Caenorhabditis elegans: one gene and its partner. The protein of the gene in region 1 purifies or fractionates together with the protein of each later gene. This does not show direct contact. Each region holds a gene or a part of one and is shown on either strand. Other genes may lie near its edges. The genes, in order: T26G10.1 and Y37E11B.5.

Region 1 (14,624 bases):
TTACGCTTTTTAATTTATTAAAATTATACATATCTTAATACTCGATTTGGATAATTTACGTACTTTCGAGTTAATCTATTTTTTATACTAATTTTCAAGTTTTTTTCCCGCAAAATTTTGGTTTCTTGACTATTTTTACGGATAATTTTTTTTTAATCTTTCAGGAAACTAACATGTTTTTAAAAAAATTTATTTAGTTTATTTTGATGAGAAAAAACATATGAAAACATGTAATTTTCTACAAAAAAAATCAGAAAAATGAGCGAATTATCCTAACAACGAAATCTCGAAAAACCAAAATTATAGATTTAAAAAAAATCGAAAAATCGAAACTCTTGATTATTACTTCCGAAAACATTTGCATGAACCACTTATGCATACATATTTTTTTCTGCATGTGAAATTGCTCGGGAATAAATTTATTGGTTTTTGTCTTAAATGAATGAATTCTAGGTGAAAATGTTGAAGTTAAATAGCACCATTAAACTTTTTTTTTTATTTTATTAATTTTCGCAAACAAATATAACTTATTCACACACTCATTCACTAAACTCACCTGCCTCAATATCATATACCAATCACAAAAATCACAGCATTTTACTGCCTTGCTTTTTTTTTGGAATAGAATTTCCAAATAAATTGTCGCTTGTCCTTCTCCATCACAACTTCTTTCAGGATGCCACGTGGCTGCAGGAGCTCAATCATATCAATCAATCTTCGCCAGAAAAGCTAGTTGAATTAATCATCCATAGATTGATGCGATATCTGTACATGTACAAAGTTGTCCATCAATTCTCGTTGGCATATGAAAAACATTTCAAAAATTATTGTAATGTATGTTTTTTTTGAGAAGAATTTTTTTTTAAAGTTGCAATATTTTGTTTAAAAAAAAATTCTAATTAAGTGGAGATTTTTCTCAAAATCAAAACTGTTTTTTTCTATGTAGAAGTTTCTAGAATTTTTCAAAATTGTTTTAGGCTTTTCTAAATCATTTTTTTACTACAAACATATATTTAAATTCGAAAAAAAGTGGTTTCTTTCAGATTGAAGCGTATACATTCCATAAATTGGTGGTTTCTTATGGTGACAATAGAGATATGCTGATGATCCTTGCATTTAATGTAAAGTCCCAAGCTCCTGGATCCTCTGAAGATTTCTTCTTCTTAAATTTTGGTCAATCAATGCCGCATCGTCAATTCAATTCGACAGAAATCGATTGGCATCAGAAGCCACGTTGGAATCCACATTCAATGATGTCACAATTGATGAGAGATGATCTGAAAGAAACGAATGATCTTGTATTCACTATGCACTTTTTATGCGAAACAATTCGTCCACTCGTCGCTATCGGAAATTTCAGTCGAATTCGTTTTCAATCTCAGAAATCACTTTCACAGCTTATTGGACCAGATGTACATTTCCCATTCCGATTGAAATATCATTTATATGCTCTCGATCAGACGACTTTGCGGTTAATGCAAGGAAATGTAATTCTTGAAATTAAATTGCTCGAAGGCTGTAAAATTGCGGTGCGGGACGTTTCAAGATACCGTCCAAGATGTGCAGGCCTTTTCCAGTTGTTCTCGAATATTGATAGGTAACTATACACTAAATTCAGAGAATACGTATTGCGCAGCATTTTTGACGCGCTAAATACAATCACTACAGTAATCCTTTTAAAGAGTTACTGTAGTTTTCGTTACGAAATTGTTTTGCGTAATACACATTCTCAGAATTTAATGTTCCGAGTAGAAAAATTTTGATTCAAAAACTCCAAAAATGAGTAAGACAAACAATTTCGAATGTAGTAGATGTTTTTTAAAATGTTTTTCAATAACCGTCTGGTTGAAATCTTTTTTTTATTCTGAAAAATAAAATTTTCATTTTCAGTGAAACAACGGCAATCATGAATGACGAAATCGCAATTCCACAATCTGATAATCCACAAACTGCTGGACCAACAATGTGGACTCCAGAGCAATTTATGGATTCTTTAGATGAACGACCCGAAGAAATTGATCCACGAATGGCTATTACATCGCAACCGATTCTTATGTCACATGATACAATCATCAAAGCGTGTGATTTCAAGGATACTGGTACGTTTTTTCGAAATTTTTTTTGTTAAATTAAAAAAAAACAATTATTAATTTTTGCATTTTTTCAAAATGTGGCTATTTTCAGAAGGAAGAATAACGTGCCCACTGGATGAATATCTATGCTCAATATCATACCTTCAAAGAGCTCTACTCACATTGGAACGAATGTCACCGAGAGCGACTTTGAATAAAAACTCATCAAGCAATCTTTCGTGCGGATTTGTAACGATTATTGATGCGAAACCGGACTTTATCAGATTCCGTGCCTCACAAATGAATGGAGATGGTGTTAATGCGACGAGTATGGTTCACTACAAAATATATCTTTGTCCAGTGGCAATGACGTTGAAGATTCGAATTGAATTTGGTATGGAATTATATTGGAAAAAAAAAAATATTTTCCAGATGCGATTTTTTGCCCTAAAATTACTGTATTTGGTCTCGAAGCGACTGAGTTTAGTTCGAATAAAATGAATGTGCGCCTCTTAAGGGTACTGTAGTTGTTTTTAGTAATCAAATTTTTGGAAAAAGTGGAGGAATGCTACGGAAATTCTATGGAAATTCCGAGTTAGCGACTACAGTACTCCATAAAAGCGCACGCCTTCTGAATTTAAGAATATTGGTTGCCCTGTTCGCAACCAGGTACCGTATTTTTGGAGCGAAAATTGTAAAGTTTCGCGTTTAGTTAATAATATTCATATTTTTCTAAATTAATTCCGGTACAGGAAAGGAAATAATAATTATTATGCATTAATCTTTAAAAACGAGAGTTTAGAATATTAATATCCCCACAAAAAGTGCGATATTTACTTATTCAATATTAATATTTTCAGAAGAAGGAACGAACAGCGCAGCAACTGCGGATAACCTCAAAACATTGACTACATACTTTGAGAAGGTATCAATTAAAATCTGAAGATGTTCAAGTACTTTTTATTTAGGTTGTATTCCCTTGCGGCGACGAATATGCACTTCAATCGTACATCTGTTTGACCCGTTTGACATCATTCGAAGCCACTCAAAGCATCGCAAATCTAATGAATGTTCAAATGGTAAGTTCTTACATAGGCCCCAGGGCTGAATCCGGAAAATTTCGAAAAAATAATTGTTCGCCATTTTTCTCCAAAAACATGAATTGAACAAAAAATGATAAAAACAAAAAATGTTTTTCGCTTAATTGTTCAACAAAAAAACGCAAATTAAATTTTAATTTCACATCCCTGATAGCTCTGCTGTCATAAGTAGGATAACAAATTTCACGATTTATTCGAAAAAACAATAGAAAAGAGAGCGAGAATGTGAATTGAGTGTGACAATAAATTAGTGGTGAGAATAGAAAAAAGAAAATGTAAATTCGAAGTTTAGTAATCAACTACCTCATTGCTTCGGATTTTTCTGAAAATTTATCATTATTTTGTGACGTTATCTTTGTATCTTACTTGAATAGTCCATAGAATTGGTTGCGTTTTCCCATCATTCTGAACGGCGAGAAGAACATTGAAGGAACGTCTCCAACTCCACGGATGTTCTGAAATTTTCCCGGAATGTTTTTGTAAAACTTTGAAGTACCTCCTCAAGTTCTTCTTTGATTCTATCAACAATTACATCAAGTTCCCCTACGGTCCTTTTTGAAACATACAGAGAATACGCGGCGCCAAACATCATTTGTTTAAATATTCGAAAAAAGAAAAGAAACTAACCCTTGGTGCATAAGCCGTGGAATATGCACAAAGTGCGATGGTGATGAGCAAAAGTGTGTAGACAATCCTTCTCGACGACATCATTTTCTGAAGGAAACCAGAAAATAAATTAAAATAATAAAATATTCTCGAATTGACACAACAAGAGAAAACTAGTAGAAATCATGAAATAATAGGGGCGGGATTTTTCGGGAGGAGGGTGTTCACGGATGGATGCGAATTGAAGAAGAAGACGAATACTATACACCAATACCAAATAGAAATTCCTTTTTTCGCCGTAGACTACAAAATGAGTGGGTCCCTGTGACTTGAGAATTGAGCCGGAAATGCAAAATGCTTCCTTCAATAACAATGGCGCCGATTTTTTTTTTCGAAATTGTAAAATGACTAAAAAGCAGACTCGTGGATTTTAATATTAAAGTATCGTCCACATTTTTGGAATTGAAAAAAAACCACACAAATTAGTCTAATTAACTGGTAATATACCTGCATAGTTATACGAAAGTTTCTGAAAACTAAAAATTCGCGTAAAATTGTAGCAAAATTGGTTGGACTCAACTGACTCAAGTGAGTCAACTGAAAAAAACGTTTCTTTTCGGCGATTTTTTTTTCAAATTTAAATTTAGTTTAAACTTTTTGTACTATCATTTTAGAGATATTAACACTCAATATGGAATTCTCGTAATTTTTTGAAAGTCCACATTGTTTGGAAATTAAGCAATTTACCAAAATCTGAAACAATTTTGAGCTTATTCATAATATGATTCACAAAATTCCACAAAACCACTTGTTTTCGAATAATATAATTTTGATATTTTTCTTCTTCTTCGATGTGAAAATTTCGCGATATAAGTCACGTCACGAAATAATTAGAACCAGCTTTTTTGAGAATTATTTGGTCAAGACGAGAAGTTCTGCAGAATTTTGAGAAACCGAGAATCGAAAAAAAATATTTGAAAAAAAAAACGAAATCCAAACGTCACAAGGATGAAAATAAGAAATAATAAAACCCAATTAACCGTGTATTGAACTTTCTTTTTGCAACTGAATATAAATCTGAGAGCCCGTGCAGATGTCACAAAATTCTCTATTCATCCGTAGAATATATAATAAATATTGAAAATCTAGTCACACGATTGGAGGAGTGGTAGGTCTAAATCGGGAGGTCCTCCTGAAGACCTTACTATGACGTGTATTTTTTTTTCGAAAAAAAAAAGTGGATGATCATAAGACCAAGAGGGGGACAGCCAAGAATAAACGAAGTGTTTTGAGCAAAACGCTAAAAATATTTTAAGGACCCCCTCTGGGTTTTTAATTCTTGAAATTTTATAGAATATGTGAACATGGTGCACCAAAGAACTTATTGCAAAAAAAATTTTCATAATAAAAGAGCACCGCCAGTCAGAATTATAATTTGAGAAGCGCTAGATAAAAACAATGAACTTGTTTTTTTGGATTATCAGGAAAACAAAAGTGATGAATTCTTGTTTCACACTTTCAAGATCTCGGGAACAATGTGAGTCAACCAAGTCATGTGTGACGTGAATATCGGAAGCAGAATGCTACAAGAATGCAAAAGAAAGGTGTAGGAGTTAGTGTTCAAAGCACAAAATCTCGTCTTTCGGGGATGTGTGAATGAAATACGTCAGTCTGGATAGTGAAAGTGATTATTTGAGATTTTCGTACAAAAAATGTATTCTACTCAAAACGACCCTAAAAGAAAATGTTTTTAACAAGACTTTTCAAAAAAAATTTGAAATTCCTAATAATGGTAATGTGTGTTGTTGATGAAATTGCGAAATTGAAACAGTGATTGAATAAAATGTGGGTTAATTTTTTTGTTTTGGAAAAGTCTTGATATTTTTTTGGTCCATTTTGAGTTTATTATAGCGTCCTTTTAGTTAGAAAGACTTCGACTTTACAAGGATGAATATAAAAGCTTTGCACATTTTACTAGGAAAACGTAATTTCCCTTTTCGGATACACCCCCAGAAGCGGAAATCACGAATCTTATGGATAAGTTCATGTCCATTAAGAGATCAAATACTGAATATTTAAAGTCAACAAACGGAAGTATTTATCTTTTAAAAGTTTCAGGAGCATCCACCCACGTCGAAATGCTGTGTTCAACTATCTCTCACTTATAACAACACATCGACCAAGAAGCTGGCGCCGGCGACGAAAGTGGATCAACCATTGCAGAATATTATTTTCAATGTATGGAAGACTGTTATTTTCTTGCCTGGCTCTCTTCAAAAAATTCAAATTTTCAGGTTATCGTCAGTCAAAGTCGTACTTCAGAATCATTTAGTGTTCTTCGATTTATCTATAGAATTAAAGAGTAAGTTCTTGTACTTTAAAGTGGAGCTGCGAGTGAATTTTGCTTCAAAATTACCAAAATAGCAGGGGGAAAAATCGAAAATGAATAATAATCCAACTTCTAAAGAGAATTTTCAATTTTTCCAAATTTCCACTTTTGAATTCGTTCCAAACTGAAAACGGAAAGACCAATCAGCGATCTGCCCCGCCTACTTACACCGTCTGATTGGTTGAAGAATGGGCGGAGCGAATCGCTGATTGATATTGCAGTTCTCATTTTGTTCAGACAGAGAGAGCTTTCTCGATTTTCTTTTTGTTGCTTTGTGGTATTTCTGAATTTCAGATTATTTTGGATATTTTAACGCAAAATCACCATTCAATAAATTTACTTTTTCAAAGGACCTCCCATTTTTAATTAAATCAAATTTCAGAAACTTTGTGGTTGTTCCATCAGCTAATGAAAAGAACAAACAAATGGCAGATGAAGTAAACGCTGAAACAAAGACTTCTGGGGGAAATCCAATTTGGAATCTGGTGCGTCTCGTTATGGATCGATTCAACTCGGGCGACTGGAATCCTGGAAACCGAGATGAACCTATCATTTCGAGTGTTGCTCCGCCGACATACGTTAACCCTGGATCAGTAGCTGGACCGAGCTCGGTGGCCGCGCCCGGATCAGTTTCAATACAACAACCTGGATCAGTTCTGCAACCAGGTTCAATGATGGGTCCTCAATCTGTAAATGCTCTTCAATATGGGATGCATCGGCAACCAATGGGTGGTCCACGTGAGTTGTTCCTCCAAGATCCATATTTCAGTACTTTAACTTCCAGAATCAATGCAAATGAATCCATCAAGCGTCGGACAACCTGGCAGTGTAGGAGGTCCTGGAAGCCATCAACAGCACATGATGAATCCGGGAAGCGTCGGACCTGGAAGCGTTGGTGGACCAGGAAGTGTGAATCCTGGAAGTGTAGGATATCCACAATGGAATCCACCATCAGTTGGCCAATCATATCATCATCCTCTCCACCATCAGCAATATCCACCTCAATAATTGACACTGAAATTCTGTAAATTACACACAACACTCGGGTTATTCTGACTCTTTTTTTTTACCGGAGATGAATATCGAATATCTCCATTTTCTTTCCTCGTATTACTTAAAGTTAACTTATTTTCTCATTTCATACTTTTTATTTATTTTTGTAATAAAACTCAGTTTAAATCAAAACATAACAAGAATAACAACTGGACAACAAAATCAACAGAAAAGCCGAAATAACAATAAATGAGCAAATCATTTACTCATTTTCTTCTTTTTTCCACCTCGTCCACCACCACTGCCACCTCGACCTCCCATACTTTTGATTCCCATCTTAAATCTTCCACCACTCTCCTCAGTGTCTCCGAAATCATCATTTTGTCGTCGCTTCTTTCCAGATTTCTTCTTTTCGTCCATTTCTTTCATTTCAATTCTCGCGTTTTCTGTTGCTTCCTGTGTTCGTTCTACTAAAACCATAACCTCATTTTCGACGCATTTGTACTCATCCAGCTTTTTTCCTGTAAATAATTTAAATTGCAGGGCTTATTGCAATTTTAGGGAAATTTTCGCTGATTTAACTTCGAGAATTATTGAATTATTTATTTAAAGTAGAGGCTGAGCGAAGTTTTAGAAGAAATTTTGCAAGCTTTCGGTGCGGCTTGATTTATGTCGATTTACGAAGAAATTGTACTACACACGGAGAAGTGTGAATTTATTGTTTGCATGATCTTATTGATTTTGACAATAATTCTTGTTTTTGGACTATTCTTTCTAATTCTTTTTGCATGTAACATTTACAAAAGGAAACAAATTCTCTATAATAAGTATAATTAAATTGGTCATTTTGGATGTTAACTGGAAAAATTTCGCAAAATTGTCCGAAAACAAGAAATCTAGCTAAAATATGTGAAATAATTCGAAAATAAAATGATGACTTCGTAGCGCGATTTTAACAAGTCGGAAAATTCAAAATCTAACCTAAATTTGCTTCAATCTTCTGATAGGCTTCGACGTCATATTGTGTAACAACTGTAATTGCAATACCACTTCTTCCAGCACGAGCAGTTCTTCCAACACGATGAACGTAATCTTTCGATTGAGATGGCATATCATAATTGATGACCATGTCGACGTGTGGAATATCCAATCCACGAGCTGCCACATCGGTGCACACAAGGATCTCACGAGCTTTGCTTTTGAATTTGTTCAGTGATCCGAGACGTTTTTCCTGAACAATTTTTTGATGAAAAAAATTATAAATTAATGTGCCACATTTGCTCAACACATACCTGACTCATTTGTCCATGAAGAGGGACAGCCTGCATTCCAAGTTGACGAAGCATCACAGCAATCTGCATGGTTGTAGCACATGTGGCACAGAAGACAATTGCACTATTTCCGGCATGTTCGTTTAGCAGATACACAAGATATGTTTCCTTGTACTTATTTGGGACGAAGATGTAGTGTTGTTTCAGATTATCGACAGTTTTGTAGCGACTAGAAACAGAAACACGGGCCGGGTCTCGCAACGATGCTCGTTCCAACTTTGAAACTTTCTTGGTCATTGTGGCTGAGAACAAGTAGGTTCGACGTTCACGAGGAATTACTTTAAGAATCTTATCCAGCTCCACCTCAAAATCCATATTGAGAATACGATCGGCTTCATCCATAATTAAGAATTTCAATGCTTTCAAATTGAATCCTTTGGTATTCTCTAAATGATCAACCAGGCGTCCTGGAGTTGCAACGATAATGTGAGGTCTTCTTGCAAGAGCCATCGCTTGTGCAGCCATATCCACACCACCGACGATAACCGCAGCAATTAATCCAATTCCTGAGCCCAGAGCTTCAAATTGTTGGCCAATTTGGAATGCAAGTTCTCTTGTTGGAGTCAATACTAAACAGAAGAAAGCTTGAGGATGATCGAGAAGTGATTGTAAGACGGGAATTGCAAATGCGCCAGTCTTTCCTGATCCTGTTTCTGCGAGACCAATTACATCTTTTCCTTGTAGTGCGTGTGGAAGAGCAGCTTGTTGAATTTTTGACGGTTTCATCCATCCGAGTCGCTGACAAGCATCACATAGCGGCTGGGAGACACCAAGTTCGGCAAATGATTTCTCTTTCACATCTTCTTCATCGTCCTTTTCAATTTCTTCCGTAACTACTTTCTCTGAAGACAATTAACCAGTTATTTCAGTTAAAATTGAGAATACTTACTTTTAGTTAGGTTTTTCTTTCGGTTCCCGAGAAACTTTTGATTATCTTCTCCGTCAGAAGATGAAGAGTCTGACATTCTGAAATAAAAAAAAATTATCAATATGTGCAAAAAGAATTAACGGAAGCAAAGAAAAAACGTTTAAAAAAATAGAATTAAAATATAAGAGTAAAAATTCGAACTCTGCATTATGTCGTAGTTTCTGATGTTTGTGCAAACACTTCGTGTAGATTTACGAGATGCACGCAATCTGACGACACTTTCACTTCAGGCTGAAAAACAACCACCGCACAGCGCCTCAAATCGGGAGAGTTGTGAAAATCGAGAATTGGAAAGTCCAACGGAGCGCGCTTGCACACTTTTACGGTATTAAATAAATTTCAGACGAAATTTCGCGATTATTCGAGTTTTCAAGATGAAATTTGGAAAAAATAGTTAAATATTGGAATTATTATTGCTTTAAAACAGTTTTTAAAAACATTTTATTGAACAAATTCAAGATTTGGTTGATTTATCATTGATTTTCGAACCGATTAGAACAAGTTAACTCTATGACAAAATTTCTACGCGAAACAAATTTTTTCAAGCATTAATATGTTTGATTCCAATTTTTAAACGTCAGCTTGATAGAAATAACACGGTTTCAAGTCTTGAAATTGCTCAAAAATGCCCAAATCAACGGAAACTGTTTAGTTTGCAGTTGATCTTCACTAAACCAACACTAAATGTTCAGATCAAATCAAAACTTGTTTTATCATTTGAAAAAACATTTTTGAATCATTGTTTCCCACAAAAAGCAGATGATAAGTAGTATAGCATGATGAGAATCCATATGGTTCTTCATATGCGCATAGCTATAGATACTGTAACTTCGACAACTCCTATCTCCTCAGAGAGGCAAGATATCAAAAAGTGATTAACTAAGAAATTGTAGAACATATCAAAAACTATAATAATTAATTAAAATCATGTGTTTATCTTTTAAGATGAGGGAGTTAGAGCAGCCAGTAGAATAACAAAAAGTATGCAATACAAATGTAAGTCTAACTCCCCCATCTTGAAAGATAAAAACGTAGGTTAAATTGAATATCATAGTTTTTGATGTGCTCTACAAGTTTTTAGTTGATCACTTTTTGATATCTCGTCTCTCCGAGTAGATAGGAGTTGTCGAAGTTGAGGTATCTAGAGTCGTAGAGGGTAGGAAGAACCTGATGGTTCCTTATTAAGGAAATGAAAATACAACACGAAACTTGTAAAAAATGTTAATTTGATCATTTATGTAAGTATTTGAGCCATTTTTTTAAGGAAAATTGGAGAGCAACACTTACATAAGAAATTTGGCGTGTCATAGATCACTTGGTAGATTGGAACATTGAAATTTGATCAGAACTATTCGTATTTTTAGTGATTTTGATTGATTTGTAACTTTATTCTATTGAAATGTTTGATTTCATAAAAGTTTTTTAATCAATTTTGCAAGATTTTTCTTGATAAATGTTGCTTTACTTTTTTATCGATTTTGTTGTAAAGAAAAATCATTTTTCTGTGTTATCAGTCAAATTAATGACTAAAACTCTTTAAAAAGATTCAAACTATTCATAAAACATCTAAAGGCAAATATTTATGCAATAAATTGCTCTAAAATCAATTTTTATTTGCAAAATTCTGTTTTTCGTCAAAAAAAATTTTCAGATTCGTCGAAATTCAGAGCTCATTTCGAGCTTATTTGGAGAAAAATTTATGTTAAAATGAAGTAAATCGCATCGCAAACAGTCTCTGGGCCGGCCCGCTTGTTGAAAATTGCTTTAAAGTCCCTAAAATGCAGAGAAAACGCGATATTTTACTGTTTTGCTATACATTAATTCCAATTCGTGCGACGTCTGCAGCAAACGCGCTCCCGCGCCAAAACCACTTTTTTCGTTGTTCTCTCCCGATTTGAGGCGCTGTGAGTGGCGAAACTCGGAAATTGTCGGCCGCATTGGCGGCCTGAATAAAGAAGACGCGCTCGAAGAGCCGAATAAAGAAGGCGCGCTCGAAGAGCCGAGAAGAGAGATCAGCAACAACAACAGCTGCTGATGTTTTTGCTGATCTCTCTTCTCGGCTCTTCGAGCGCGTCTTCTTGCATTGGCGGCCTGAATAAATGACACATTTAGTTTTTGAACACAAATCGAATGCATTCACAGGTGATTCGCGAGTACGAGTTTTATGCTTCATCCGAAGTTCGCGCGTGCTTCGAATGGGTACTTGAAAACATGAGCAAAAATGGAGAACAATGCTCGTCTTTGCGAACGAACGCGAGCATAAAGGAAAACAATTTATGCTTCCTTTTTTTTTCAACCCCGCATTCCGGCATCCGCGCTTCCGCTCTTCATACTTTTCTCAATTAAAACTAAAAGACTGCTTAACAAATAATATTTATGACACAACAAGACATCAAACTAGTTCAAAAATCAAAAAAAAAAATGGGAGAACAACAAAAAGCTAGCTACAATGTGGGGGGGGGGGGGGAGGGAGAAAATTGGGAATAAAATAAAAAATAATTAAGCTCCAGTGTGATGATTATGATGAATTAGAGACGATTTCGGTGCAACTTTCGCGGCTACTTGACGAAGACGATTACGGCGAGCTGATTTTGGAGTTTCTCTGAAAAATAGTAGTTGGAACTATTCGAATATTTTTTAAACCAACCGGCTTCCACGTTTATCAATGACATCGTCCATTCTCGGCGGCTCTCCGATTCATCCAATTGGGGCTCCATAGCTGAAGAGTTTGAAGATGAGCAAGTCGCCTGCTCCTCATCGTCATCTCTGGAGTTTGGATGGGAGTGTCCTGTTGATTCTGAAAAATTCGATGTTAAAATTATGGGTTAAAAAACTGATTACGTGGACAAATTGAGCACCAATTTCCGATTGTCGGTCTTCAATTGCAGCATGGAAGCGAGCAGTCGGATGGCCACCGCTACCGCCGGTACTTCCGGTTCCCAAGCCAATTCCATGTCCTCCAATCCTTTGTATTCACCTGCAAAATATACATAATTCTTGCTGTTATGTTGAAATTGTTAATACCGTCTTGTCCTTTGTCGTCTGATGGTGCTTTGCAGCCACTGGTAAAAGCTCCCCGCGGTGGAGACAATACAGTGTGGGAACAGGATTACAGGTCGGACGAATCGACGCATCAACGTCGGAAATGCTGAAACACGAGTATATTTACGGAAAATAATTATTTTTGCCAAAAAAATCAAAGAATTGCTGAAGAAAAATATGAAAAATCGAAGAAAAAGAAAAAGAAATTGTGAAAAAATAATTTCGAAAATGAGGAGGATTTACGGTTAAGAGGGCGCGCAACCGTTATTTCGGAGTGTCGTTGCCTTCTGCGTTTGGAGCTTCTTTTGAAATGCTTTCTCGCTCTTATATTTAAAGTCGTAGAAAAGAAAAAAAATCACTTTGAGTCGTAAATGTGATTTGTGATTGAAACCAACAAATAATTGAAAAAAAATTGAGTTCAATTAAAATTTAATTAAAAATATTTTCCACTAATTTTAAAATTTTGATAAGGGTTCCCCCTTATGAAAAATTATGGAAAAAAATTTGTATTCCAAAAAATTTCAATACTGCTGGATTCTGTAGAAAATGTAAATTTTAGTATTTTCCACAGTTTTCATGGCTCAATCATACTCCTGGGCAAAAAAATTCAACAGTCAATTTGGCTTGTTTATTGAAAGTCAGTACTTCCAAAATGTTCTAGCTCCTCAGGCAGCTGAAATATGAAAAAATGTCAACTAGAAAGTTGTTAGGAATGAAGTGATTGACAAATGACTTATTGTAACTTTTTGTTATCTCCGATGGTTGAGCAGATAGGAGCACCTAATTATGAGTAAAATATCACTAATTTTGCCTGATGATATCTCCGTACTCTGCACACAAAGCGAGAAACTGTTAAACATGAAACATGTTCCATAACAACCTGAACAAGTGTGTAGTTAATAATTTTTTGATGTCTTGCTTGCCCGATGTGAGACATGACTTCGAAAAACTGGCATAGTAGGTAGATCAGTTAGAGGGATAGAGGTTTTTACAGTTTCTTAGTTTTTGAAAGCACCACATTCAGCAAGAAAGTACATATATACAATTAGGGAAACATATTTTTACAATATCTGATAAATATTTGACAACTTTTGAAAAAAAATTTTTTGGATTTTCTTGAAAAAAAAATCCAAAGGGTCCCCCCTTATGAAAATTTACAAAAATTTTTTCGAAATTTTTTTTTTGAAAACTTCTCAAATTTTTATTAGATGTTTTAGAAAATTGCAATGTTTGTTGTTTTTTTGAGTTTGGATGTTCAGCACACAAGCTTAGACAAAAACCGGAGGTATAGTAGAACCTCCCTCTTATGTTCAAAAATCGCATTCACTTTGGATGCTTATATCTTCGTGGAAAAAATTTTTATGGCAAAGTGATCAACTACAAAGTTGTTTATTTTAATTAAAAATACAACTTTGTAGTTGATCATTTTTTATCAAAAAAATTGGTGGTTGAGATAAAGTTGTGAGAAGTGCCGCAACTTCATTCTTGTATTTTCTTTCCATTTCTCTCTGTATATCTCAACCACCGAATTTTTTGATAAAAAACAATTAAATACAAAGTTGTACTTTAACTCAAGATAAACAACTTTGTAGTTAATCACTTTGTCATAATAATTTTTTCCACGGAGATATAAGCATTCGAAGTGATTGCCTTTTTTGAACTTAGAGGTTCTACTAAGCCTCAGGTGTTCGTCTGAAATCGTGTTCTGAACGTTCAAACTGAAAAAAAACAACCGACATCGCATTTTTCTAAAAGATCTGATCGTATTTTGAAAAGTTTTCAAAAAAAAATTTCGTAAAAATTTTTGAAAATTTTCATAAGGGGGGACCTTTGGATTTTTTTTCAATTTTTGCAAAAAAAAATTCAAAATTCTCGGAAAATTTTTTTTTTGAAAAAGTTGTAACAACTTTGAAATATTGAGAAAAGTACAAAAGTGATTATTTATGTAAATTTCAACGTCAAACTAGGCGTTTCCAACGAGAAAAACCTCCATTTCTTGAACTCTTCAACCACATACATAATTTCGTCTGAGATGTACATCTTTTCAGGATAGAAAGATATTAAAAAGCGATCAATTACCTAATTATTAAGCTTGAAATGATCTATTACAATTATAAAACATAAACGTTTTATCTTTGTTCATTATTTAGATATGATCACTGA
Region 2 (16,995 bases), on another chromosome or scaffold:
TGGTGGTGGAGCTTGAGAAGTTGATGCTCCTGGAGCAAGTGGGGGAGCCGGTGGTGGAGCTCCTTCTCGTGGTTTTGGTGGAAATGGTTTGGCAAACCCGTTGACTCGATCGCCTGACGTTGAAGCTTCCGAAAAATCCATTTTTAGGTGAAAATCTGAAAAAAAAAAGAAGAGAAATTTCTGGGGAAAAAATTGACTGAAAATGGAGAAATTTTACGATTTTCAAGTGAAAAATTAGGAATATCATAGTTAAAAACCAGTATTTCATAAGTTTTCCTTTGAAAATTAGATTTTTTGGTGAGAAATACATGATTTACGTTTTTAGGTCCAAAAATTTGATTTTTTTTCAATAAAAAAAACAGTCAAAATTGCACTAATTTTCAGAGGAAAACACTTTAAAAAAAGGCGAAATATCTGAAATATTGTGAAAAAATGGATTAAAATATGAAAACGGTGAGAAAACCGATAGAAAAAACAAAATTTTGTGGAAAAAAATGGGTAAAATCAACAATTTTATAAGAAAAAAAAACTAACAAAATATTAAAAACAGGAACGAAACAGAACAAAAACTAGAAAAAATGGTGAAAAATTGGATTTTTGCGAAATTTTCGACATTTTTTTGACATTTTTCGAGCAGAAATTCTCAACAAATGAGCAGATATCAAAATTTTTCGACCGAAAATACAAAAAAATTCATTAAAAAAATAGCATTTTCATATATTTTTGGTAGAAAAACGGCATTTTCTATTCGGAGTTTTGATCAAAAAACGCCAATTTTCATGAATATTCTCCAAATTTTATTTTAATACGAGCTAGCCTTGTGCTTCGGAATAAACTGAAATCCTTCCGGCGTCGGTCCCAGCAGCCGAGTCGAAATTTCGATCCAATCGTCGGCTTTTTGTGAGGAGAGCAACGTTTCAAGCTCATTTCGACCGCAGAATCTTGGTGGGCGATCGTTGATCCGTTGGGGAAGTCGTTCAAGGATTCCGACAGGGATGTAGCGGCACTGGAATGATAGAAACTCGAGAAGGAATCGACGGGTACGTTCGACGCCTGCATCATCGGATCCCCAGTGGTCGAGACCGTAGTCGACGAATCTGGAAATTTTTTTTTTTAGAAAATTTGAAGAAAATCTGATAAAATTGGTTTTTTTAAACCGAAAATTCGATGAAAATTGACTTTTCTTTTACTAAAATTCTAATAAAAATGAGAAAAATTTCTTAAAATCTGAAAAGAAAATAGTTTTTACTGATTTTATCGATTGAAAAACCCATTTTTGAGCGGGAAAATCGATCGAAAATTGAGATTTTTTCGCGGAAATAAACGTCAAAATTCGGAAACTTCTGATTTTTAAAAGTTTTTCTGTTGCAAATTTTGCGATTTAAAAACTAGAAATTTTGTGTGAAATTTTACGAACTTAACGTTTAAAAAATTCAGAAACATCGTGATTTTCGGGCCACTTTTTTTTTGGAATTTTCAGCTAAAAAGGGCAGTTCTACCGAATTTTCATGAATTTTCAGGAGTTTAATTGCAAATTATAGATTTTTTCCAATTTTTCTTATGTTTTAGGCTTATTTTCCAGTCATTTTCTCGAATTTTCAGCTAGAAATCTCCGGAAGTCTCCAATTTCTGCATTTTATTTTCCAATTTTTATAGATTTCTGGTCAATTTTAAGCCATTTTTTCGAATTTCAAGTTCAAAAATCTCCAAATTTCCATACTTTTTGAGTAAATCAAATCTCTCAGTTGAACTAATATCCCAAGTCCGTCTCTCATCAATTTCAGTGAAAATCCATGGTTTAATGAGTGCTCCACGTCCAATCATAATTCCATTAACTGGATATTGCTCCAGCCGCTCGTAATAGTCTTCCCAGCTCAGAATATCTCCACAAACCCATAAGGGAACAGGTTTTGTAGCTTCTTGAACTGGAAATGTGAAATCCCAATTGGCGAGCCGTGTGTATCGTTGCTCTTTGCTCCGTGGGTGGAATGTGATGAGGTCAGGTGTATGCCATGAGTGCTTTTTCATGTGCTCCACGTATTCGGGCGCTGAAAAAAATGTGAATTTTCGACATTTTTCAGTGGGAAAATCGAATTTTTAGGTAATTTTGAGACGGGAAAATTGAATTTTTTTTGACATTTTTCGGTTGAAAAATCGATTTTTTTCTGAAATTTTTGCATGAAAAAATTGAAATTGAAAGTTTTTCTTTATTTCAATTTTTTTTTTAATTTTTGACTAGAAATTCGATGTTTATACGAATCTTGACTTGAAAATTTTAGTTTTTAGGTAAATTTTTTATTTTTAGCTGAAAATAGGTGTTTTTTTTCAATTTCAGACTTTCCGTCAACTTTCAGAGAGAAATTCCGAATTTCAGTCAATTCTTATTGCGGAAAATATGGTTTTTCAGTCTATTTGAGGCGAGAAATTCAAAATTTCAGGTAAATTAAAGAGAAATTTGAAGAAAAAAATTTTGGCGAGAATTTTGAATTTTTTATAATTTTAAAATTATCAAAAAATCGAAAACTTCAATATTATTGAATTTTTTTGCCAATTCTGGCAGAAAATTCGAAATTTAGCCCATTTTCGGTTAATTTTTAACGGAAAATACAAATTTTCAGTTAATTGTATACAAAAATTGAATTTTTTAGATTTTTTTTTAGAGAAATGTGATTTTTTTGGGCAGATTTTTTTAAAGATTTTCAGCTCCAAATCTGCACCTTTGAGCACTCCTTCCTTCATTCCAGTTCGAATTTTCACCGTCAACGGACAGCACCCGCCAAGGACACTTTTCGTGGCGGCGAGCACTTCAAAGAGCTTCTGAGGACGGCTCGGAAGAGCACAACCACCTCCTTTTTGATTAACAACATCAATTGGGCAGCCCATATTGATGTCGATGAAGTCAACGTCGAAGTTTTCAACGACGATTTGTGAAGCTTTTGCCATTGTATCAGCGAATCCACCGGCCAGTTGAACACCGAAGATCTTCTCGCACGGGTGACGCTGGAAATTCAAATTTTGAGTAAAAAAATTTTAAAAATCTGGAAATTTTTCGATAGCTTCTAGGTATTTTTCAGGAAAAATTAGCGAATTTTTCGATAATTTTAGAAAAATTTTGGCGGGTATTCAAATTTCTTCAGAAATTTTTTAATTTTGGCGAAAATTTTAGATTTTCACTGAAAATGTTCAAAAAACTCCAAATTTTTCGTAAATTTATAGGTATTTATTTTTAGGAAAAAGTGGATAATTTTTGATTTTTTGCAAAAAAAAATATCGAAAACTACTTTTTTTCAAATTTTTCAAATTTTTAGCTTTTTTACTTCATTTTTAGCTAAAAAAAATTTCAAAAATCTCTGAAATTATCGATATGTATATGTTGACCATTCGAAAAAATAAAATCCCATTTTCAGAGGTTTTCAGGCTCATTTTTTGCAGTAAAACTTTGTTTTCATCTCAAAAATCGCCCAATTTCTACCTTAAGCAGACTATACTCCGACGCAGTGCCCGACAGTATACTAGTAGCCAGAGCCATTTCTCCACACGTGATATCAGCTCCATAATCAACGCAAATTCTTCGAAACGGGAGATTTCCCACAGTGGTCAACGGAGCCAGATACTTTTTCCCATCAAGTGAGCCCATATTGAGCGGCTTCTTCTCCCGACACATGGCTCCGACAGTGCTCAGGCTCAGCTCGAGAACCTCGAAATTCTCATTTTTAATCGCTTCCAGTGCTTTTTCCGTCTTTTCAAAATCATATTCTCGCTTGCGCAGAGCCACTTGAATTTTCATCGAATGACAATTTGTGGTGGGCTCGTACGGCTTCTCCGGTGATTTTTCAGATTGCTGACCGGCTTCGTCGAGATGAGCTCCGCCGAAACGACAAGCATAGCTGAATGGACATGCTCCGCGAGCATCGTAGAGGGGACACGCTACGCCGATGTCAGCAGGTTTTTTGGCAAGAAACGCCGAAATGTCGTGCTCACAGTTGCATTTTTCGCCGAATCTGGAAGAAAACATTGATTTTTAGGCGGAAATTTGGAAAAGATAAAAAAGAATAGATTTTTCTATGGAAATTTTGATTTTTTTAAACTAAAATTTCGATATTTCGGTTAAAAGTTAGCTATTTTTGGTGATTTTCGATTCAAAAACTGCTGAAAGTCCATTTTTATGCTTAAATTTTAAAATTTTCTGATATTTTGACGAATTTTACACTGAAAATCAGCGATTTTTTATAAAAATTTTGAAGTTTTAAAATAATTTATATACGAAAATCTACGCTTTTTGGCGTAAAAATGCGGTTTTTTGACTGAATTTTTTGCATTTAAAATTTCAATTTCGGGATTGAAACAGCTGTTTTTCGACTTAAACTTGACTTTCTCGGTGAAAATCGAATTTTAATGCATTTTTTTATTGGAATTTGGAAAAAAAAAAAGTTTTTTGGCTGAAAATCGTATTTTCAGGGCTTTTTCCATTCAAAAACTGCTGAAAGTTAGCTTTTTCTGGTGAACTTCAGCAGTTTTCGTTAGGAAAAAGCTCATTTTCGCCGGTTTTTGACTCAGAAAAGTGCGTTAAACGTATCAAACTCCGATTTGGAGCACATTTTATATATATAAAATTTTACCCTAAAATGTGATAAAACTCACTTGCAAGCCACTGGTTGAATTACAGACGGGCAGAGACGGACGGCGGCGGCGCGAATTCGAGTTTCCGCGTGTTTCATGTCCTTTCTGCAGAAATTTTGGCGGTTTTTCCAACATTTTTCATTAAAAATTAGTTTTTTTAGCTGAAAAATTTGAGACAGCGCGGAAAACTGGCTTTTCGTGGGGTTTTCCAGCCAATTTCACGCACATTCTCAAAATTTTCACAAGAAATAAATTTTATTTTCAGATTTTTCACCTCCTAGTCTTGTTCATTCCACGTCGTTCCCGTTTCGGCAGCGCCTGAACCTCGGCCGGCAGTTCGTGGTCCTCTTTCTGAAATTTTCAGCTAAATTTCAGCGTTTTCAGTCAGCCGGCGCTTACTGGAAGGATGTATTGCTCCTTGATGGGCGCTACGTTGATATCCCGAGAATCTGGCATTGGCTCTGTCATTTTACCCTGGAAAAATGGGGAATTTTTGAGGAAAATTCTGGAAAAATGGGGGAAAATAAGTAAAAAATCGGATTTCTAACCGAAAAAAGTAGGGAAAAATGAATTTAAAGCAAAAAATAACAATTTATCTGCATAAAATACCCGTAAAACACCTAAAACAATTAGTTTAATTATTGTTTTTTCAGCTTTTCCAGCTTTTCCTTGAGCGTCTCTCCGTATCCGGCTTTCGTCATGTAATTCCGCTCTTTGTGGCAATTTCCGCACTTCTCGGTGACAGATCCGCGTTGTTTCACAGAGATTTCGGTTTTTTCGTACTGAAAAATCGATAAATTAACAGAAATTAATTTTAAAAAAAAAATCATGAGAAAAGCTTACATTTCCGACGAGAACCTCCCGGCAAATTTTGCAAAATTGCTGCTTCTGCTCGCAGTCCAAATGCACCATTTCCGTGTCCATAACCTGTCGGCAGAGCTTTGAAACGTGCCGGCTCGTTTTGGAGAATCCGTCGTTGTTTTTGGAGCCTGAAAATCGGGGAAAATTGATTAGAAAATTGAGTAAAACTGAAAATTTACCGAGTTTTGACAGAAAAATCGCACATCGATGGAGATGTTCGGCTCGCGCATAGCCCAACTTGTTTTTCACATTCTTTTTTCCATTATTATTCTTATTTTCTCCTTTTTTGCTGCGGCCCATAGCGGTTTTGGGAAGAAAATCGACGGAAAACAGAATTTAAATATTGTTTGCAATGTCTGCGTCTCTGCATTTTGCACACTCTTTCGTCGGTGTTAGGTAGGGCGCGCTTGCATTAATTTTATATATTGGATTTTTTTCAGAATTCATCAGAGACAATTGTTTGTTGTTAGACATTTTCAGCTGGTTTTTGAAGTTTTTTTTCAGTAAATTTATTCGAAAAGTATCGATTTCCGTTTATTTCCGGCTTTCGATCGAAAATTTAATGTAGAAAAGCTGCTGGAACAAGAAAAATATTAATTTATTCCCAGCGCATATCAACAAGAAAAACGAGATCTATAGTAAAATACATGCAAAAATTAACAAAAATTCAGTTGTGAAGTCCACCACCACGACCCAAAACTCTGGAAATAAGTGGGCGTCTTCTCAGCGGAGCCCCAAGAATTTGCCGATGAGTTGGCTCCAATTCCTCCCACCGACGGGCCGGGAGCTGCAATTTTTTTCAAATTATAAATTAATTTATGTAGCTTTGAAAGCTCTCAACTTACAGCTTTTCCAGCAACTGTCCCGATAGCTTGTTCGTAGGTCGGCACGCGGCTTCTAGCTCTCGGGAAATCGTCTTCTTCCGGGAAATATGGAGGGTCGTCGTCAGCAGCGCCAACTCGGGAGCCACGTGTCAATCCGAGCATAGTCAGAGAAACGGATTCTGGAATAAAAAACTTCAAATTTCAGGGAATACCAGAAAGAAAGAAAATCCTACCTCCAATGAGCATAAGCAGCAATAATATCAAAATGTTCATTTTATTTTCAAAAAAAAAAGTAATTGGTCTGACGAAATCTTGTTTATATACGGCTATGACGTGAGGGAGGTGATGATAAAAGATGATGGGAAAATAACGACCGAACAAAAAAGAGAAAAAGTTACAGTAAACACTCCCCCCAATAAGCGATCTTAATGGGAGAGAAAGTGAAAATTTCTTCGAAGATAACGAGAATTATTAACAAGTGTCGTTATAAAAAAAACTAAATTAATATTTTTTAACGATTTTCTTTTGTTCTCAACTAGAAATCATAGAAGAATGGCCTCATGAAGCCATTTTTGGCCTCAAACACGGCCTAGTGTTGATTTACGCAGATTGTGTACTCCCCGAGGAAAAGGGATATAAATACAGTTTTTAAAAATTAATAAGTGAAATCGCCAATTTGGAAAACCCACAATTTCTTGCTGTAAAGCTGGAAAATCACAAAAATTTTTCAATTTCGGCAGAGTTTTGAGGAAAAAACCGTGTTATCCAACGATTTTCCCTTTCGCAAAACGCCAATTTTACACTGATTTACTGCCAAAGTGTCAAAATTCCAAAAATTTATGCCCCGGAAACTATTTCGGGAACACAAAATTCTAACAATGCGTATTGCGCATCATATTGGACGCGCAAAATATCTTATAGCGAAAACTACAGTAACTCTTTAAACTACTACTGTAGTGCTTGTGTCGATTTACAGAACTCAATTTTTAATCGAAAAAAATATCAAAAGAAAACAATAAAAAAATTACAAAACATTACGAAAAATTAAGAATATTGAATATCGCTGTATCCATATCGAAAATCGAGATACCGTAAATCGACTCCAGCGCTACAATAGTCTTTTAAAAGGGTTACTGTAGTTCTCGCTACGAGATATATTGCAAGTCAAATTTGGTGTCCAATACGCATTCACAAAGTCTGGTGTTCACGTAATACAATTTTGCCGATTTTTAAGTGGAAAATGAGAAAAACTGCAATTCTTGGTTTCAAAGAGTTTTTCCTGACAATAAGATTTTCTGTTAGAAATATAAACGTAAGCTGCGAAAAAAAATCTGCGAAAATGGCACAAAACCAGGAGTTTCAAGCTAAAATTTTAAAGCCCTTCCCCTCGAGGAGTACACGAGCTACGTAAATCGACACACGGCTGAGTCGGAGTGTATATAAGCAAACATCTATTAAAATTGAAGCTTTTTGCAACAAAAATAAGTTAATATGATTTTGTTAACATCAATTATATGCCATCAATTCCGTAAAATTTGACAATTCCCTTTAAAGGTATACTCTGTTTTTCTAAGTAAGTTGGTCTCGCCACGATTTCTACAGGAAAAAAAATACGGTTACATAAACTACAAGAAAATTTAATGACCTCAAATACTGGAATTTTCGATGTTTTCGATGTTTTCGAGAACATGACAACATTATCTATTTAAAAATCCTCATCACGTCTATTTATTTTCTATTTTTCTAGCTCTGAACTTCTGATCTACCTTCAGTGCAGAAAATACGATTTCCTCGACCCTCTCTCTTCCACCGACTATTTTCGACTCCAACAATAAGGTTCATAGAAGGACAGTCCACTAGTCGCCGTCGTCATCAACACGTTGGTCTTTGAAAGATGATTCTGTACGGGAGGAAATGAGAGATAGAAATCATCGAAGTTTAATGCAGTAATTTTATTACAAGTTCACACGCACTCAGAGGGGTTTTTTGTCGTTCTTCGTCTTTCCGGCAACCACAACCTTCTTGGGCACCAGGGTGACCTGTTGCGACCCTTTGACCATCTTAAAGTCGAGCGTCATTTGGATCTGGAAATTTGGAAAAATTAGAACTTTCGAGAGAAAATTTCCCGAAACTAATACCGTTGTCTTCCCATCAGGCGTGGTGCCAACGATAACGATCTTGTTGCCAGTTGGAGCAGTCGGGGCAGTCGGAGCAGCTGCAGTTATGTTGATGACCTGGGGAGCTGCACCTGGAATCGGAGCTGGAGCCCAAGCATCTGGCTCCTTGCGATACCTGTAGAGCGACTTCGGAGCCGAGTACGCCAGGCGTCGGCGATGCGGTGGAAGCTGAGCAACATTGTTAACAATCTGCGGTGCAGTGGTCTTCAATGACTTCAATGTAATGGAGCCACATTACTGCCGAGGCGTTGTCCGGTACCCGGGAACTTTTTGTCTGCGCTTTGAGGAGCTGCATCTGGAAGCGGAGCTGGAACTGGAGCCGGAGCCAAAGCTGCTTTCTGAAATTACAAACAGTGATATTCAATTCGAATCTATCAACTCACATTGGCCTTTGTCGTTTCTGCAGCAATCGGAGCCGGCGGTGGCATGCGTCGTTGAGCCGGAGAAAGCTGAGCAACATCGTAGACAATGTGAGGTGCATTGATTTTCTGAGTCGGCGGAGCCACGGAATTCATACTGCCGGTGCCTCTTCTGTTTCCCGGAGGCTTGGGAGGAAGCCTGGAATTTTGACACCCAATCTTAAAACGTTATTAACTCCTTAGCGGATGACATGGCCGAAAATTGTTAATTAATTTAATATAGAAAATTTCAAGGTCTACATTTTGTTATTTGAGTACTTGTTTCTATCCCCACTTGTTGCGGAGTTATAATAGTTGCAAATAATAGTTGCACTCGTCAGAAAAACAAGATATCGAAGAGTTGCCAACTAACTTTGGCAGAGTTATAACCAAAATAACTCACTTATTGAAAATTGGGAAATAGACACTAGGCACCTTCTTCACAACTCCAGAGAGTCCAAAAGCCGGCGGTGTCTCGGATTTTTTCAAAGTCGGAGCCGGAGCTTCCTGCTCAATTTTCGCTGATCTCCCAGGTTCCGTAGACGGTCCTGGTTTATCTGACTCAATTGGATTCTTGAACTGTTGGGATTTGTCATCGAGGCTTGAGGGCTGAAAAACGTTTTTGAAGCTGCCGAGCCGATCCACTTACTTGGGGTCCCCCATCCGTGGTCGCCAGGCTCTCTTTCTGTCGGCCAAATAGGCTTCCCTTTCGAAGATCTAAATAGTTTCTGTCACTACATTGCCAGTGTAGAGTGAATTTGCAGCGCCCTACCATTCATAGTCTCCGAGTACGTCAGCGATTTCGCTGTGGTCGGCTCGGAGGCAGCGGCTCCGCTTGATCCGGCTGAGGTGCTCATAAGCCCGGAATTTCTAAAATCAATTTATTCTCATGAATTCCCAGAATTTTTCTAGAAAGTTACTTACGACTCAAAATCGGATCCGTCAGTTGTAGTACATACAGATCCCGTACTTGATAAACCTTTTGATTGGCTTTGCTGAAAGGTGCTGAGCTTCTGCTCAGACTTGTAGCACCAGTACTTACCGATTTAGACGACTTGCTCATATTTGTTATGGAAACTTCGAGCTTGCCACAAAATGAATGAATTTTATCGATTTTTTAACCTTCTGTTATTTTTTTCTGAGTTTTTTCACGTGAAATTTCTGAAAATTTAAAAACAAATTTAACGATGTAGAGAATGAAATCATATTTTGAAGCATCACTTTTATTGGTTCACACTCATTCAAAGGGGCATTTCATTTTTTTCGTTCTTCGACTTGGAATCAACTGTGATTTCCTGTCCGGCAACCACGACCTTCTTGGGGACCAAGTCCACCGGCTGATCCGAGCCTTTGAGCATTTCCCCGGCCACCACCTTCATGTCGATTGTCATTTGGATCTGGAAATTTGGAAAAGTTCCAAATTTTCAACGTATATCAAAGCTACCGTTGACTTTCCATCAGGCGTGGTGCCAAAGACGACGATCTTGTTTCTGGTTGAAGCATTTGGAGCAGTCGGAGCAACAGTGTTGCTCATGACATGAGGAGCTGGAACCGGATTCGGAGCTGTCTGAAATCACAAATAGTGATATTTAATCAAAATCTAGATTCTAATGTCACTCACCTTGGCCTTACGAGTCCCGAAAAGCGACTTTGGAGCTCCAGTAGCAATCGGAGGTGGCATGCGTCGCTGAGCCGGTGGAAGTTGAGCAACATTGTAGACACAGTGGCTTGCGTCGCCTGCATTCAATTTTGGAGTCGGTGGAGCCACCTCATCCATACGACGGGCGCATTTTCCGGCACCCGGGAAATTGTAGGTCGAGGCTTGACCAGGCTTACAGCTAGCTGATTTTCCGAACTTGGCAGTAGAAGGGCTGAAATTTTAGAATTATAGATGCTACATTGATAGGGTAGTTCCAATATTCTCCGGCTTAAGGCTCCCTTGAGGTCGCCGCATCCGCGCCTGCGCCGGCCTCAGCGGTCGCCGCGCCGGCCTCATGGCGTCACTCACGCCTCACTCAGCTGGGACCCCTACTCCGGCTATATTCAAAGTAACTCACTTATTGACACCTGGGAAGTATACACTATCGTTCTGCTTTTGCTTGTCCCCCTTCTTCACAACTCCAGATTGTCCAAAAGCCGGCGGTGCCTCGGACTTTTTGGCCACTGATTTTTTCGACTTTTTGGAAAAGTCTCCATCCACTGCTGGAGCCACCGGAGCAGCAACTTTCTTCGCGATTTTCGCAGATTTTCCAGATTTTGTCGACTTTTTCGAGAAGTCCGCATTCATAGGAGGAGCCGGACAAACCAATTTCTTGGCCATTTTTGTAGATTTCGCAGATTTTGCCGATTTTCCTGATTCGTCTGAAGAGCTGGTAGAATCTACAGAACTCTTGGGCATTCTGGGTTTTCTCGCAACTCTGGCCTTTTTCGACTTCTTCGATTTCTTAGATTTTTTGGATTTTTTTGAGAAATCCGGAGCAGCCGGCACTTGCTCTTTCTTCAGAGCATCCATCTGCTTTTTCGGCGACTTTTTACGAGACATCGCACCTTTGCCAGCCATGGAAGATCCAGGCGATCTCTGAAAGAAATCTAGTTATAGACAAGAAATTTGTAGAAAGCGAATGCCTACCATCGGAATTCCAGTCTTCATTGATCCAGTTTTCTGCGACTTTTGGGATTTGTCATCGAGGCTGGTGGGCTGGGAAGCAGTTGACATGTTAGTCTGGAAAAATTCGAAACTGCTGGCCACAGCCGCCGTACTCACATTGTTCGAGAAAGTAATGATAGTAACACTCTGGGGCCCTCCATCCGTGGTAGCCAGACTCCCTTTCTGTCGGCCAAACAGGCTTCCTTTTCGAAGATCTGTAAAGGTTCTCTGCATTAGAGCACACATGCATCGTCTTACCATTCATAATAATCTCCGGAGACGTCGCCGACATTGCTGTGGTCGTCTCGGAAACGGCCGAGTTGGCGCGGCCCGATCCTGCCGAGGTGTCAGATAGCCCGGAGTTCCTGAAATCAATTTAGTTTTGTTAGTTCACAGCATTCTTCTAGGAAGTTACTTACGACTCAAAGTCGGATGGAGTTCCACCAATCGCAGTGTTGACCGAGTTGGACAAGGCCGTCGGGATTTGTGGAGGATCGGTGAGCTGTTCGGCGGTGAGGAGACTGGTGGAGCAAGCCGTTGGCGGGCACACAGCTCCGTCACTTGATGAAGCTTTCGATTGGCTTTGCTGGAAGGATCATTGGCTTCTGCAATGTGATCTGAAGCAACCGTACTTACCGATTTAGACGACTTGCTCATAATTGTTATCCTGATGGAAACGTCGAGATTGCTACAAGTTGATCTTGCAAAATGAATCAATTTTATTGATTTTTTGACACTTCTGATTTTTTTGTTTATACTTTTTTAAAAGTATCTTGTTGGGAAAAAAGTTCACGGGAAACATTTTCTTTATTTTCAAAATATTTTTTAAAACAAATTTACTTATGTTAAAAAAAATTTTTTTTTAGAAAGAAAATGTTCACGTAAAATGTTTTTGTTTAAAAATATAAAAACACTTACTATTAAACTTCATGTCGTGAACAATAGTTGTGTGTTCAAAAAATTTGAAATTTCGGATTTTTTACAGAGTCCCCGAGGTTATTTTTGGTCTACTATTCTGAAAAAAGTTTGTTTAAAAAAAACGTTTTTTTCATAATTATGGGTTAAATGAAAACATACAGTAACTTTATTTCCCGTCAAAAAGTGGCAATTACTCAGTTTTTGCCACTCATAATTTTGGAAGTAGACCAAAAAATTGTTTTCCTACATTTTTTATATTTTAATTTTGTTTTAATTATTTGTATTAAAACATTGTAGGGGTCGCAACATGCGACATTGCGTTGGATTTCCTCAAAAGCTCATATTTTTCAAAAATTTGGCAATCTGCCAAAACTTTGACCGAAAATTATGAAACATCTAACATTTTTTTTTAGTGTTTTATTATGATATTTGGTTGTTTTGGATAAGTGTATTTAAATAAAATCCTCACTGGCGCGTACCTTTAATATCATTTTTCATTCTCCGTCTTATAGAATTATTAATTTCTATGTGGGTTGAAATGAGTTGTCAGTTTTCATGCAACTAAACAATTTTTATCAGTTCCTGCTTGAGGAAAATTGAAAACATTTTTTAATGATAAGCAAACTATTATGAAATATTTATAGATTTTTTCTGTAGTTTCAAATTGGAAATCATACTTTTCAATCTTCATTCAACAATCATTTTACAACAATCTTACTAGTTAGTTAGAGTCTCTCTTTTTCAAAGGCACATTTTTTTTGTCTAATTACGCTTTTTGAATTCTAAATTACCGTCAACGCGTTTATATTTAACATGCAAATATATATGTAAATGCCGAGTACAATAATATTATTTTTCTCCCTGATACTAATGATTTTACAGACGCAACAAGATGAATTTACCTTCCAAATTTCATCAAGTTACTATTACGGTTTGTATTCATATATTATATCATAATTGAAACTCGTTTTCAGGACCCGATAGCCGGCGCGGGCATTACTTTCACTATTCCAACCCGTTATGTCAACCTTAAATTTTTGAATGTCGGCGCTCAGGGGATTGTCGTGTGAGTTTAAGCTATGTTTATGTTTATATCATAGAACATCACTGAGCCACGGCGCGCCACCCAACGTAAGTGGACACGGCCGTCGACGAGCCCAAATGGCCGCAAAATCTTACATTTCAAAATATGAGGGAATCCAGAACTCCGTGTTCGCGGTTAACAGTAGAAACTAGAATGGATCAAATTTGAAGTGAGTGTTTCATTTTTTTTGCTTACATTTAGAATGGCCGATGACCTAGTGACAACACAACGCGTAGCAATCAAGAAGATGCAACAACCATTTCTGTTGACAATGAGTGCAAGGCGAGCATATCGAGAATTTATACTGCTAACGACTCTGAAACACCCAAATGTAAGAATTATTTGAAATCTAGGAAATGCTAAAAATTTCAGATAATCCGTCTGCTAAACGCTTTCACACCGGATACTTCACTTTCATCGTTTCAAGAGGTATATCTGGTTATGGAATTTATGACACACAATCTACACGAGGTGATACATCGATTAAGGTAAGAGGCATGATGGCTGATTTTTATGATTAGGCGTACTTTAAAATGTATATGATGGACTTGTTAATAAATTCCCAGGTCCAAGACTAATATACGTAAAATATTATTTTTTCTCAAAAAAGACAAAAGTTAGAAAAAATAGCAAAAAAAAATTGACGGGGTTGGAGAGTTGGAGATTGGATTTGGATTTTGTTGGTTGAGATTTGTTGTTGGTTGAGCTGGTTGGTTGAGTTGGCTGAGTTGGAGATTGAAGGTTGGAGACTATAAACATATTTAAACTAAATCCCCACTGACAATGCTCTAACTTTTCGTCAATTGACAATCAATTGAATATCGGCAATTGAAAAATAACTATATGCATTATCAGATTGGATCATGAAACATTATCATTCTTGGTCTACCAGAGTTTGTGCGCAATCAAGCACCTTCACAATTTGGGATTCATTCATCGTGTACGTCTATGTACACCACTATAGACAACATTCTCAAAATTTCAAAATTTTAGGACTTAAAACCATCGAATATTGTCGTGAACGAACGTTGTGTGTTAAAAGTCTTAGACTTCGGATTGGCAAGAAGACGCAACGTGGACATGAGAATGTCAGATTATGTGGGGACAAGATACTACAGAGCCCCCGAGGTTATTTTGGGTCTGAACTATTCGGAAAAAGGTTTGTAATTTTGGACTAACACAAATTATATGTACAGTAACTCTAAAACTCTAAATTCATAATTTCAGTAGACATTTGGTCAGTCGGATGTATACTTGCTGAAATGATCAACCATACCGTTCTTTTCCCGGGCAAAGATATACGTGATCAATGGACACAAATTTCTAGTGTATTAAGAACACCAGACGATCATTTCATTAATCAATTAGAACCAATAGGCGCTGTGTATGTTCGATCGTTGCCACAACATCTAGCACGTGCTTTCAATGAAATAGTTCCGGATTCCAATTTTCTGCCGGAGACTGAGAACCCGAAGGATCATTTGACACGTGAGTCGGGCTATACAGAATTTTGAAGAAGAAATGATACTTTCAGTACACATGGCTCGTGATCTCCTGTTCAATATGTTGAAAATCAATCCTGAAGAACGGTATTCAGTTGAAGATGCACTTAATCATCCATATACTATGGTTCAAGGTACGAAATTTTAACGCTTTGTCAGTAAACTTATTTAAAGGCTTAGGCTTAGGCATAGGCTCAGGCTTTGGCTCAGGATTAGGCTTAGGCTTAAACTTAGGATTAGGATTAGGCTTAGGCTTAGGATTAGGCTTAGGCTTAGGATTAGGCTTAGGATTAGGCTTAGGACGAGAAGGAATGAGGAGAAAGAGAGAAAAATAAGTAAAAAAAAATCAAGAATTCAGAAAAAGAAAATAACAAAAAACGCAAAATGAGACATCTCAAAGAGCGGCAAAAAAAAACCATGAAAAACTGCCCGAAAATCGCCCCAAAAAGACAACAGATTCAAAAAATAATGACAAGAAGGTTTGCTAATGATTTTACATTTAATAATTTTACAGGACGATGAAGTAAACGCCCCCGCATCAGAAATTCCGGACGATGAGGTTAATGACATTGACGATTGGACTCTTATTGAATGGAAACGGCTCATTTTCAACGAAGTGCAAGGCTATCAAACCGATCACGACATTTTCAATGAATAAGAAATCTTTGCTTTCTCAAAAAAATTATGTTTCTTCTGTTTAGCTGCAAAAATCTGTTTCTAATAAACTTAAAAAAAAACAAGTTTATTTAACCACAATTTAACGAAAATCAGGGGAAAAGGGGAAAGACCTACAAGCTCACAAGTACGTGGGTGGTGGGAATGTACAAAATAAAATCAGGGAAAGCTTAGAAGCAAACTGTGTGAGTCGAGTGACGAATGTGAAGGTCCTTGGCGATCATTTCGGCGGTGATCGGATGCATTTGGCTACGTCCCTTGAGGTAGACGTCACGGGCTTTTTTGTTGGCAATCGGCCATTGAGCGAGGTCTCTGGAATTATAGAAGTGAAAATTTTTGATGCTTTTGAGCTTGTCCTTACCTGTAAATCGGCCTGCAGAACTTGAGGCGGCCTTGAGAGTTGACAAAGTCCAGCGCCTTCGGGATACACTCTTCCCATTTGGATTTGATGCACAATCGGAGCCAGCTGAAAATGATTAGCTCATTGAATTTAGATGTCCAGCAGGCTGAAACTCACTTCAACAATAGCTCAGAGTTCTGCGAATCGTTCAACTTGTACAGCTTGTTCAAAGCATCCAATTTGTAGTGCTCAATTGGAGGGTCGTGCTGCCACAGCTGGGATAGCAGCTCAATCTGTTGAAGGGGCTGCATAGCATAATAATCTTCAGACGTAATGTCCCCAACAGTGCTTTCATCGGCGGCAAGCCACTTCTTCAGAAGGACCTCACAAGCTTCAACCATCGACTGCCCATAGTTAGGCTTCTCTGGTGGCATACCAACTCCATTGAACCATAAATCAAAGTTTACTGTATCAAGAACCTCTTTCTGATCCGCAAAGTACTTATACAAATGATCCTTCCACTGCCAACTATCAATCGCCTGATGTGCGAACGTCTTGAGATAATCTTTAAGGTAAGCCTCAAAGATCTCACTTCCTCCGAGCTTCTGCTCAAGGTAGAAGAGCAGTGCTGATCCTTTTTCATAGGGAACACACGAGAATGCAACGTCTGGATCGACGTTTGTATGGTCTTGAATGAGCTTTGTGAACTGGTGAGTAGGCGTGAATTGCTCATAGACCTGTAAGATTCGAACTTTGTCTTCAAGGAAGCCTGACTTGGTGTGATAAGCTTCTTATCTATGCGGTTCGAAATACGGTGTGAAATGATGGGGTGATTCGGAGAAGCAAAATACAAAAAATGCTGGTCTTATCAGCTTGGAACATGCCTTTCAAAGTTTATTTTTTAGGAAGAGAGGTGTTACTGGCCTTCCCATAAGGTTACAGAGCTATC

The links.
Region 2: the proteins of T26G10.1 (region 1) and Y37E11B.5 fractionate together in Caenorhabditis elegans (co-fractionation; one large-scale study listed by BioGRID). This does not show direct contact.

Annotation. Positions count from the first base shown.
Region 1 is NC_003281.10:9,397,185-9,411,808, forward strand, and holds T26G10.1 (Putative ATP-dependent RNA helicase T26G10.1), read right to left. Parts: upstream 9,458-14,624; 5' UTR 9,457-9,457; coding exon 9,381-9,456; intron 9,334-9,380; coding exon 8,453-9,333; intron 8,392-8,452; coding exon 8,142-8,391; intron 7,682-8,141; coding exon 7,419-7,681; 3' UTR 7,300-7,418; downstream 1-7,299. Other genes in the region: rgr-1 (Mediator of RNA polymerase II transcription subunit 14), read left to right, coding at 676-834, 1,044-1,597, 1,891-2,099, 2,185-2,466, 2,933-2,997, 3,041-3,151, 5,897-6,016, 6,073-6,140 and 2 more; nlp-48 (Neuropeptide-Like Protein), read right to left, coding at 3,461-3,494, 3,539-3,627, 3,800-3,883. UniProt on the Caenorhabditis elegans protein: Probable ATP-dependent RNA helicase which may be involved in ribosome biogenesis.
Region 2 is NC_003282.8:3,593,459-3,610,453, forward strand, and holds Y37E11B.5 (tRNA-dihydrouridine(47) synthase [NAD(P)(+)]), read right to left. Parts: upstream 5,095-16,995; 5' UTR 5,089-5,094; coding exon 5,020-5,088; intron 4,972-5,019; coding exon 4,895-4,971; intron 4,726-4,894; coding exon 4,642-4,725; intron 4,002-4,641; coding exon 3,473-4,001; intron 3,001-3,472; coding exon 2,718-3,000; intron 2,049-2,717; coding exon 1,721-2,048; intron 1,098-1,720; coding exon 803-1,097; 3' UTR 501-802; downstream 1-500. Other genes in the region: taf-2 (Transcription initiation factor TFIID subunit 2), read right to left, coding at 1-141; Y37E11B.6 (Zf-AD domain-containing protein), read right to left, coding at 5,259-5,402, 5,464-5,609, 5,661-5,781; Y37E11B.7 (Neuropeptide-Like Protein), read right to left, coding at 6,149-6,268, 6,327-6,484, 6,539-6,578; Y37E11B.10 (BRCT domain-containing protein), read right to left, coding at 10,122-10,277, 10,325-10,447, 10,502-10,751, 10,938-11,458, 11,510-11,742, 11,786-11,892, 11,947-12,113, 12,164-12,184; kgb-2 (Stress-activated protein kinase JNK), read left to right, coding at 13,338-13,376, 13,420-13,511, 13,731-13,860, 13,902-14,017, 14,385-14,469, 14,523-14,688, 14,757-15,017, 15,064-15,165 and 1 more; ltah-1.2 (Peptidase M1 leukotriene A4 hydrolase/aminopeptidase C-terminal domain-containing protein), read right to left, coding at 15,877-16,018, 16,068-16,172, 16,224-16,783.